2 linked regions of the Caenorhabditis elegans genome follow. The protein of the gene in region 2 interacts with the protein of the main gene of each other region in a pairwise test. Each region holds a gene or a part of one and is shown on either strand. Other genes may lie near its edges.

Region 1 (4,332 bases), on a different chromosome or scaffold from region 2:
GCTCCCAAATTTTTTATATAAAAGAAGAAAACGGAATTAAAAATAACTAACAACACCGACAAAAAATATTCCAAAAATGTTAGGACAACTCACAACATAAGAATTAGAATGTCGCCAGGACCAGGAATTTGTAGAATCACAATGAGTGTGAGCATTTTGATCAATTCGCTTCCACTCTAGATAATTTGCTAGTATTTTGACTATCCTTGTAATAGAAAATAAAAACAAAAAGGGAGAATTTGAGTCTATTCATGAAGAAAAAGAACAACGAATAGACCCTTTTCCGTAGTTTATTTCTACCTGAACAAGTGTCTCCAATTCCTCAACGCTGAGATCTGTGAGCTTCTTCTGACCGGTAGCCACAGCTCGTTTCGTCTTGAAATACATTTTCACATCGGCAAAGCACCATCGAGAGCCTGAATATATGATTCACAAGATGATATTGTAATCTTACACGATTTTGGCATTCCTTCATGAAGGTGTACGGATTTATTCAGATGAGTCACGGGGCGAAGTTTAAGTTGCCATAAACTTTGCGCCGAGACCCATCTGAATAAATCCGTGCGACTTTAAGAGAGCATGTCAAGATCTCTGAATAAAAATAAAAAAGATCAGAAAATGTCATTTTTGAATTTCAAAAGTAAGTAAGTTAATCGGAGAACTCCCTCACCTTCAAGAACAGTCCTGTGAAGTGCCAACACTTTAGGCCATTTTCCAATAAATTGTTCATACTTGTAGGTCAAGGATCCTTCTTTAGCTGGAGTGGCTGGAGGTGGACCGGCTGATGTTTGTCTGAAGTAGAACACATTTTTTAGAGGGATAATATTGAATTTAACGGATACTCAGAATAAAACAGGTTTTAATGATGAAAAGGTCTACCTAACAGCAACAAGAAAAGTAGGCGAATTGAGCACACTGTTACTGCGATGAAGAAGAATCCTTGACAATGAGTGCATCTGTTTGAAAAAAAGTAGTTTTGTCAAGGAAAAACAAACGAAAAAGTAGAAAAGGCACAGAACCTCATGGATAATTGAAATAATTGTGTCAGGAATAGTAGATAAAACTTCATGTTATTTCCTGAAACTAATAGTATAACAGGCAGGCTAGAATCATAACCATGATCACAGGTTTGTGGGAATCAAAATGACTGGAATGGGAATAAAATGGCAAATTTTGGGCGGAGACAGGAAGTTAAAATACATATATGTACAACTATGTACCAGGGATCGAAATATATAATTAGAGTATACATGTTTACCCATGAGTGTTCAGAGATAAACGTGAAAATATGAAAGACATTGATTTTACTAGAGACGCGTGACTTGGGGAGTTCCAACAGACGTGCTACTGTTGATGCGAATGAGATGGCGATAATCAGTGCCGTTTGCTTCCTTTTCTTGTGGATTTTGTACATTTTTTAGCTCCTCATCAAGTTCGTAAAGCGTGCTTTCAAGTGATTCGTCTTCCTCCTCATTGCCATCTAAAATTGTTACAAATAATCAAAATAATAACCGTAAACTCGACTTACGTTCATCGTCATATAATGCTTGCAAATCTTCTTCCGTCTTTTCGAGCATCCTCAATTCTCTAATTTTTGCATCGAGCATGAATCGTAACTGAATCGACCGCATGCTCAATTCCACGATTCTTGCTACATCTTTGAAGACCAGAACGAGACTGACTTGAAGACACTGAGCAATTGATTCGACGATTTCTGCATGGGAGGCAGTGACGACGCTTTTTTCATTGACAGCAATGACCATGTCGCCTAAAATTGCAGTAGTTGGCAGGAAAAGCTGAATTAAATGATTGAATACCTCGTGTTATCCCGCAGCGATCAGCTGGGCTATCAGCCGACACGTAATCCACATAAGTTATTCTTTCGTAACTGTTTGAAGATGTTCTTTTGAATACATATGATTGGAGAGCAAAGCCAAAGGAAGTTTCAAATGTTTGACGACATAGAAGAAGGCTCCGTTGTGCGGATTCTTGATTGATCCCATCGAAAAGATAATCATTCAGTGGATATTCTTCCTGTAGTAACGAATATTATGGTTGTTCTTCAATGGAGAATCAAATAATTACTTTTGCGTCACACAATAGTCGCTGTTCAGAAATATTGTCATCCGGCGTATCATATTTTGAAGAGCTCGAACTCGTGGAAACCGCACTATGAGCGTCGATGTGATCCATAAAAGCAGAAACTCTGAAATAACATATATTAAACAAAAAAACATGTTTTTAGAGTTTTTTAAATGTTTAAACAACACAAGACTCGAAACAAAGTCGATAAGTTGTAAAATTGGTGAGAAGATGAAAGGAAAAGCTAGAGACGAGAAACATGTACGCAAGCGCCAGATTCGACGCGCAAAGTTTATAATGGGAAATTCGGTAATAACTTTAGAAGAAAGCATATAAAATTATTAAACTTAAGTAAAAAGTGACTAAAACACAATCATCATGCAAAAAAATAAACGACTAAAAGACCAAACAAATGACTAGCGCGTGCGCACCTTTTCTTATTTGTTGTTGAAATATATGAAGGTTACGGTATTTACTGAAACACGCAAACACATGACACGCTTTCGAAATTTCAGCTTTCGAAAACTCGTTCCTAAATACTTTTCCTACTTTTGTGAAAATTCCCTTGATTTTTGTCAAAATAAGGATCATTCGCGATGAATGATTCTTATGCTGAATATATAGCACAAGTAAATGAGTTTACGAGGAATTTCTGTATGAATCCTCAGCGATATCTCGCTGGTAATCAGAGAGGTTTGTGGAAACTTTTAATGACCTAAGTTTCAAGTCGATTTTCAGATTTATCCCAGCCGCTTCCTCCACCTGTACTCTCTGGTGAAGCAGTTCTACCAACCAGTACTTCTGTTCCTCAGCAAATCGCGCAAACGGTTTTACTTTGTTTTCATATTCTGATTGATAAAATATGTTTCCAGAACATGGTTCGCTCAAGTGAAGTACCACCTCAATCTCTTCGACAGGAAATTCAATCATTTACATCGTCAGAGGTGCCCACTAGTAGTCAAGTTGCTGGAGTGAGAAACTCGTTCACACAAAGGCTTCTCCCAATCCAAGAATTGTCGAATTCCGAATCTGTCCCAGCCTTAGATACTGCGCTTGTTCCTTCCAGTTCCACTTTGGCAGCTTCATCACAACGTCGTCTTTCATCTCAATCAATTCCTGTCCTGGTTGGTTTTAACTTTTAATTCCCGTTTAATGAATTTTATTGACAGACACGCAAACTCGGTTCAGTTCAGCCTAAAGTGGATGAAGCTCCAGCTGAAATTATAAGAGAAGTGAACAACTTAAATATTCATCATGGAGCCAACAATCAGGGTGAAGTTCCGTCTTCCGAGTTGAACGCTGATCTCGATGGGGTTTTTGAAATGGTCCAGCGTCATCAGTTCCCGGTAAATTAGAGCTTTGCAGTTCTCTCAAAATTTTTTAGTTGCAGCGTCCAAGTGTATTGATTCCAGCAGAACAAATTGAACAAAGTACATGGCTTTCTGAGTCAAATGATGCTGCTATTAACATTTCTCAAAACAATGACGTCATCGATCCAAATAAAACAATACCATTCATTGCCAGCGGAAAGAGTATTGAAAACATTGATCTTCCATATCTTCCGGGTCAAACGGTTTTTCCTAACATGTTCACTGAATTAACTGCTCGTCTACGTTCCCAAGAGAGGGAAGAACTTCTCCGGCGAGAGTTGAATGAACTTAGTATGAATCAAGGAACATCAAATCAGTTTGATCAACAGCAAATGGTTTAAAAAAATTAAGAAAATGGGATTTAAATTAAATTCATTTTTTAGAATTCTCGTGTCATTCCGAATTCAATGGGTACTCTATGGGAATCATCAGAAACTGGTCAACAAGGTGGTACATCTTCCTCGTCTACCGTCCAAGCATTTCAACAAATGAACCAAACAGAGTACTGCAATTTGGCGACAGATATTCTTATCAATATGGATAACACAGAGCTGAAAAATGTTACAGACGCTTAGTGAGTTGTCCTAATGAATTATTATTTTAATAGAACACGATTTTTTAGCTTTGAGAGCAATGTACGCACCAAGTTCAAGGCAACGTATCCCTTCTTAGCAGAGGGAATGATCCAGAGAGATAGTCAATCGGATCCCAAAATGCTTCACGTGTACTCATCACGTCTCGGTCATATTAGAATTCCGGACACCCGCGCAGATACAAAAGATTATGTCTACTTCATGGTCATTAATCCAGGCGAATATGGAGGAGTTAGTTATAATACGAAATTTTAATTTTCAAACATTGAAATTTCAGTTTCGTTTCT
Region 2 (4,350 bases):
TCATGATAACACTTTTCAAAAAATGTAAGTATATTTTATTTCTAATCAAAAAACGGGGGAAACTCACTTTCCGACTTTTTTTGAAAATGATCGATCAAAAAGCTTTCTTTCAAACTTTTGTTCTAATGATGTTTAAAATATTTATATTCCAACATTTCAGGCGTTCGGAAGTGCCTAAGATTTCTCGAAAAGTAAAGTTACCTCAGTTTTCCAGCTTCAATAATATCACTTACTGACGTTACTCCATTTTTGTTTATACTATTTTATATCTGCATCTCAGACATTGATGTATACAGTTTTGCAGAAAAGACTTTCTTTACAATTTGGATTTTTTGGCTCTTGACTTTTGTAAACATGTAAACCAAATTAAAAAAAACTAAATATTAATCAGCTTTAACTTAATGCAATTTTTTTGGAAAATAACACGTTGAGTAGATACTTCAGAAAGTTATTTTCTCACGTACACTATATTAGCATTTAAAAGACCGTTTTTTTAAAATTATACCATTTTTTACGATGTCCCAAATTTCATACCAACGTTATTTTTTCAAGATAAGAATGGAAACAAACAGTCTTGAGTTGTGTTTTTTCCTAGCTTCTGGAAATGGAATACATGGTGAACAATCATAAAATATTTACAACTTATGACTTGTCAGGAAACTGAATTATACACGCGGGACGCGTCAAAAGACAAGAAAGCATCACATCTTGTCATTGAAAATGTATCAGAATGGTTTAATTTTGTGTTATATAATGTTGTTTTCTTTATAGTGTAAAAGAACTCCACAGAAGTCATAACCCATATCATAAGCTATTTTCATGGGTAGAACCCACTAATGGTCGAAACATATAATTAAGCTCATTTTACTTAACACCCCTCGTTGCTGCAGGTCATTACAGTAGTCAGAACGATATTCTCAGGGATCTCCTATCTTTATCCTCTGTGGTATGTGCGCGAGAGTCATGTGGATGTTGTCTGCCCTGACAGCCAGCTGCCTTTCCAGTCGCCTTCTTCTCCTTGTTTTATGTCTTCGAGTTTACGACCGTGGCCGTTAACCCTTGAATTTCCTATTCAATACCTTTTGGCTTTTGCTTCATGTGTCTATGCGTATGGGTTGTACCGAGTCTGAGACATGTATGCTTTATTTCTTGTCAGATACTCAAAATTAGTTTTCGAAGAAATGATTTATTACACAAGCAAGCACATTAATAAATCTGTAACGACGTGAGTGGAATGATTGAAATGGCAAAACAAAATTAAACGGGGCTTGAATTATACTACGATAGTTGCTTTAACATTGATATTGGTTTTTCGGTGACTACCAATCATCAATAAATCATTTCAAAAAAAAAGAGAGAAAGGGATTTATTTCTTTCCATAACCACCACCAGAATAACCACCACGTGCTGGCTTCTCGGGCTCATCATTGGTATCCAACTCGGAAACGGACGGGGCAACAATCTCCTGAACTCCGCAAGATGATGGGCAATGTCCTCCTGGTTCTCCGGAATCTCCTGGTGGCCCGAATGGCCCCGGTGGTCCTGGCTCTCCCCTTGGTCCTGGTGGTCCTGGTGGTCCCATTTCTCCAATCGGTCCTGGTGGCCCACTGTTCTGAGATGGCAATCCATTCGAACCTGGTGGTCCTTTTGGTCCTCTTGGTCCTGGTGGACCTGGTGGCCCCTTAATGCCAGTTCCTCCAATCGAATCATCTCCTGGTGGTCCTTTGATTCCCGGCTCTCCTTGCTCTCCTGGTTCACCTTGTGGTCCAGCATCTCCAACGCGTCCGGGCTTTCCTGGTCTTCCTGGAAGACCTGGATGTCCTGATTCACCAGTCTGTCCTGGACGTCCAACTTCTCCCTGTGGTCCTCGAGTTCCTGGTGGGCCAGCCGGACAAATTACGCATGGGAATGCTGGTTCTGGATCGAGTGGTACATCAAGCCCATCAAGTCCAGGCTTTCCTGGTCGCCCATTAGCTCCATCCATTCCAGGTTCTCCACTAACTCCTGGTGGTCCAATTGGCCCTGGTGGGCATCGTAGTTGAACACAAGATGTGCATTGTTGGTTGTCGGATTGAGCACTATCACTTCCGTATCCCCCATATTGTCTTTTGATTCTTCCATTGCTCTTCACCAAAACAATGTCATGCCAAATGTTGCGAGCAACGAACTGGAATAAACTATGGTTGTTTTTTGTTTTCATTACTTCTCTACTAGATCTCCAAGTTTTATTCTCTGATTTTTGTTTTTTTTTTCATACATTTTCTACATCTTCTACTTATTTTGCTTGCACATCTAGTTTTCACGCATTAGTGTTCACGCATACGTTCACGCATACGCACCACCAACCTTGAAGGAGCCCATTCTATTTTGAAGACGTTCGTGAGCCTCGTCCAACTGAATGCTGAGCATTGTCAAGACTGCTCCAAGAATGAGCACACTGGCAATGCTGAGTGACACGGTGGCTTTTGCCACGTGGTTGGCCCCCGAACTGGGCTTCTCCATTTATCTGGAACAAAATGTAAGAATATTCTTAAAAATTGTTTCATTCAGAATGAATCTTGTTTTGTTTTCACAGAGCGGTAGAAAAAATATTTCGAGTTTTGACAAAAAATATAAATTAAAAAAAAGAACAGGGTGTGATAAATGAATTGAATTGAAAAGAACATGGATTGTAGAAAACGGAAAGGTGGATGAAGGTGGAGTGTATCTGTTAAATAGGTCAGTCTTTATCGACACAATAACCCAATTATCGGAGATAAGAAAAGATTCCAAACGAGAAGAGATGAGTACATGCGAAAAAGGAATGTAGAATATAAGGGATGTGTTGCGAGAAATCGTGGAATGAGATTACAAATAGATTGTTCCCGAGAGGTCACTGATGTCTCCGTTACCGCTGCTGCCGCTGCCGCCGCTACCGGAGAGACTTTCGATCACACGAGCGTCCTTCTGAAATGTGTACAGTTGCAAAACGTTGGATAAGAACATTTATCAACTAGGAATGCAAAAATCCTATTAGAACTCACAGGCGTCAGAGACATTCTTGCAAATGGGCATGCCAACGGTTGATTGGAGCTCGTGGATGGTTGGTTGGAGCTCGAACACTCACCATTTCCAGACGATGCAGTTGTTGCTGAGGTGGATGCCACATTCTTAAACTAAACATCTCTAAAACTTTTTGAAACATTCGAACTAACGTCTTCCAATAGCTGCTGCGTAGCGTGGTGCAAAACCGTGTTTTTTTTCATTTGAGCTTCATGGTCAGTTTTTCTGTTCTCATCAAATCCAGCTCTCATCTGATCCACCAAGCAAGCGGTAAAAATTACCCAAGCCTGTCCAGCTCCCGGAAGATCTCGCACTGCCTCTTGCGCCAGTACCACATCAATCATCACTTCTCCAAACTTTTCCCAGTAGTTTCCAGCAAGACCATATGGCTTCAAGATGCTATGTGCACGTCCTACAAATGAGTATATTTAGCAAAAAAAAACCCTTCTAAACATATGCTGCATACCAATTACTCTCGGGTCGTTTTCAGAGCTAGTGTCCGTTCTCTTCGACTTTTCCACATCAAAATTCTTTATGACAGAGTCAATCATTTTCACACAGTTTTTTGAGTGATCCCGTAATGTGGAAGTAGTTCCACGTGACATTGCACATAGAAACATCCTCGTCGAGAACATATCTCTTATGTTTGGCAGATTTTTCACGAGCTTGTCAAAAACCTGTAGTTTTATTTTTACTATGAAACTCATCTCACAACGAAGCTTACTTCTTCAAAAACATTTTCCACTCTTTTTCCTCCGTTTCTAGTCTGTAGTCGGTGCCAGGTGAATCTGATTGCACGCTTCTGTATTTTGCTCAAGCGAGTGTCGTAGATGTAGTGTTTCAAGGCAGGCGTCGGTGGTGCTGCTGGAATAGAAGTTCGCAATAATTGGAAATAAAAAAAAAATGTTTCAAACTAAAATTACCTTGTTGTTGTAAATCATAGATACTTGGCATACTGCTGCTTTTTCTTGCTTGCTTGCCGTCTTCCATGTTTGAGTCGACCGATCCTCCACCAGTTTTCTTTCGAACGGTCCGGCTAGAACTCACGCTTCGCATTATGAAAATGTGAAATAACTACGGTATTTTTTCATGATCATAAAATAATGTCATGCTTGTGATTCCCTATGCCATATGTGTTTCTCGCAACAGAAAAAAAGATAACGAGGTGCCAGATTGACGAATTAGTTGTGGGCGACAGGCGATGTAAAGACAATATTTAATGGGTTTTAAGAAATGGTCATGCTGATATTGCACGAAACTTTTAATCAAGGAAGTAAATTTTCAACAAAAAAAACTTCAAAAATCAAC

The links. The genes of interacting proteins can lie anywhere in the genome.
Region 1: the proteins of dpy-7 (region 2) and gras-1 interact in a two-hybrid assay, tested with the Caenorhabditis elegans proteins (one large-scale study listed by BioGRID).

The regions. Positions count from the first base shown.
Region 1 is NC_003279.8:7,833,688-7,838,019, reverse strand, and holds gras-1 (General receptor for phosphoinositides 1-associated scaffold protein 1 homolog), read right to left. Parts: upstream 2,213-4,332; 5' UTR 2,194-2,212; coding exon 2,086-2,193; intron 2,035-2,085; coding exon 1,818-2,034; intron 1,769-1,817; coding exon 1,529-1,768; intron 1,481-1,528; coding exon 1,308-1,480; 3' UTR 1,053-1,307; downstream 1-1,052. Other genes in the region: F30F8.9 (Letm1 RBD domain-containing protein), read right to left, coding at 301-416, 671-792, 880-956; F30F8.1 (RING-type domain-containing protein), read left to right, coding at 2,679-2,775, 2,821-2,909, 2,955-3,206, 3,252-3,428, 3,473-3,787, 3,836-4,026, 4,075-4,276, 4,323-4,332.
Region 2 is NC_003284.9:7,535,287-7,539,636, forward strand, and holds dpy-7 (Cuticle collagen dpy-7), read right to left. Parts: upstream 2,507-4,350; 5' UTR 2,503-2,506; coding exon 2,347-2,502; intron 2,168-2,346; coding exon 1,367-2,167; 3' UTR 1,181-1,366; downstream 1-1,180. Other genes in the region: glb-16 (GLOBIN domain-containing protein), read right to left, coding at 2,848-2,946, 3,024-3,149, 3,195-3,454, 3,509-3,719, 3,767-3,906, 3,966-4,078. UniProt on the Caenorhabditis elegans protein: Nematode cuticles are composed largely of collagen-like proteins. The cuticle functions both as an exoskeleton and as a barrier to protect the worm from its environment. Mutations in dpy-7 affects the body shape.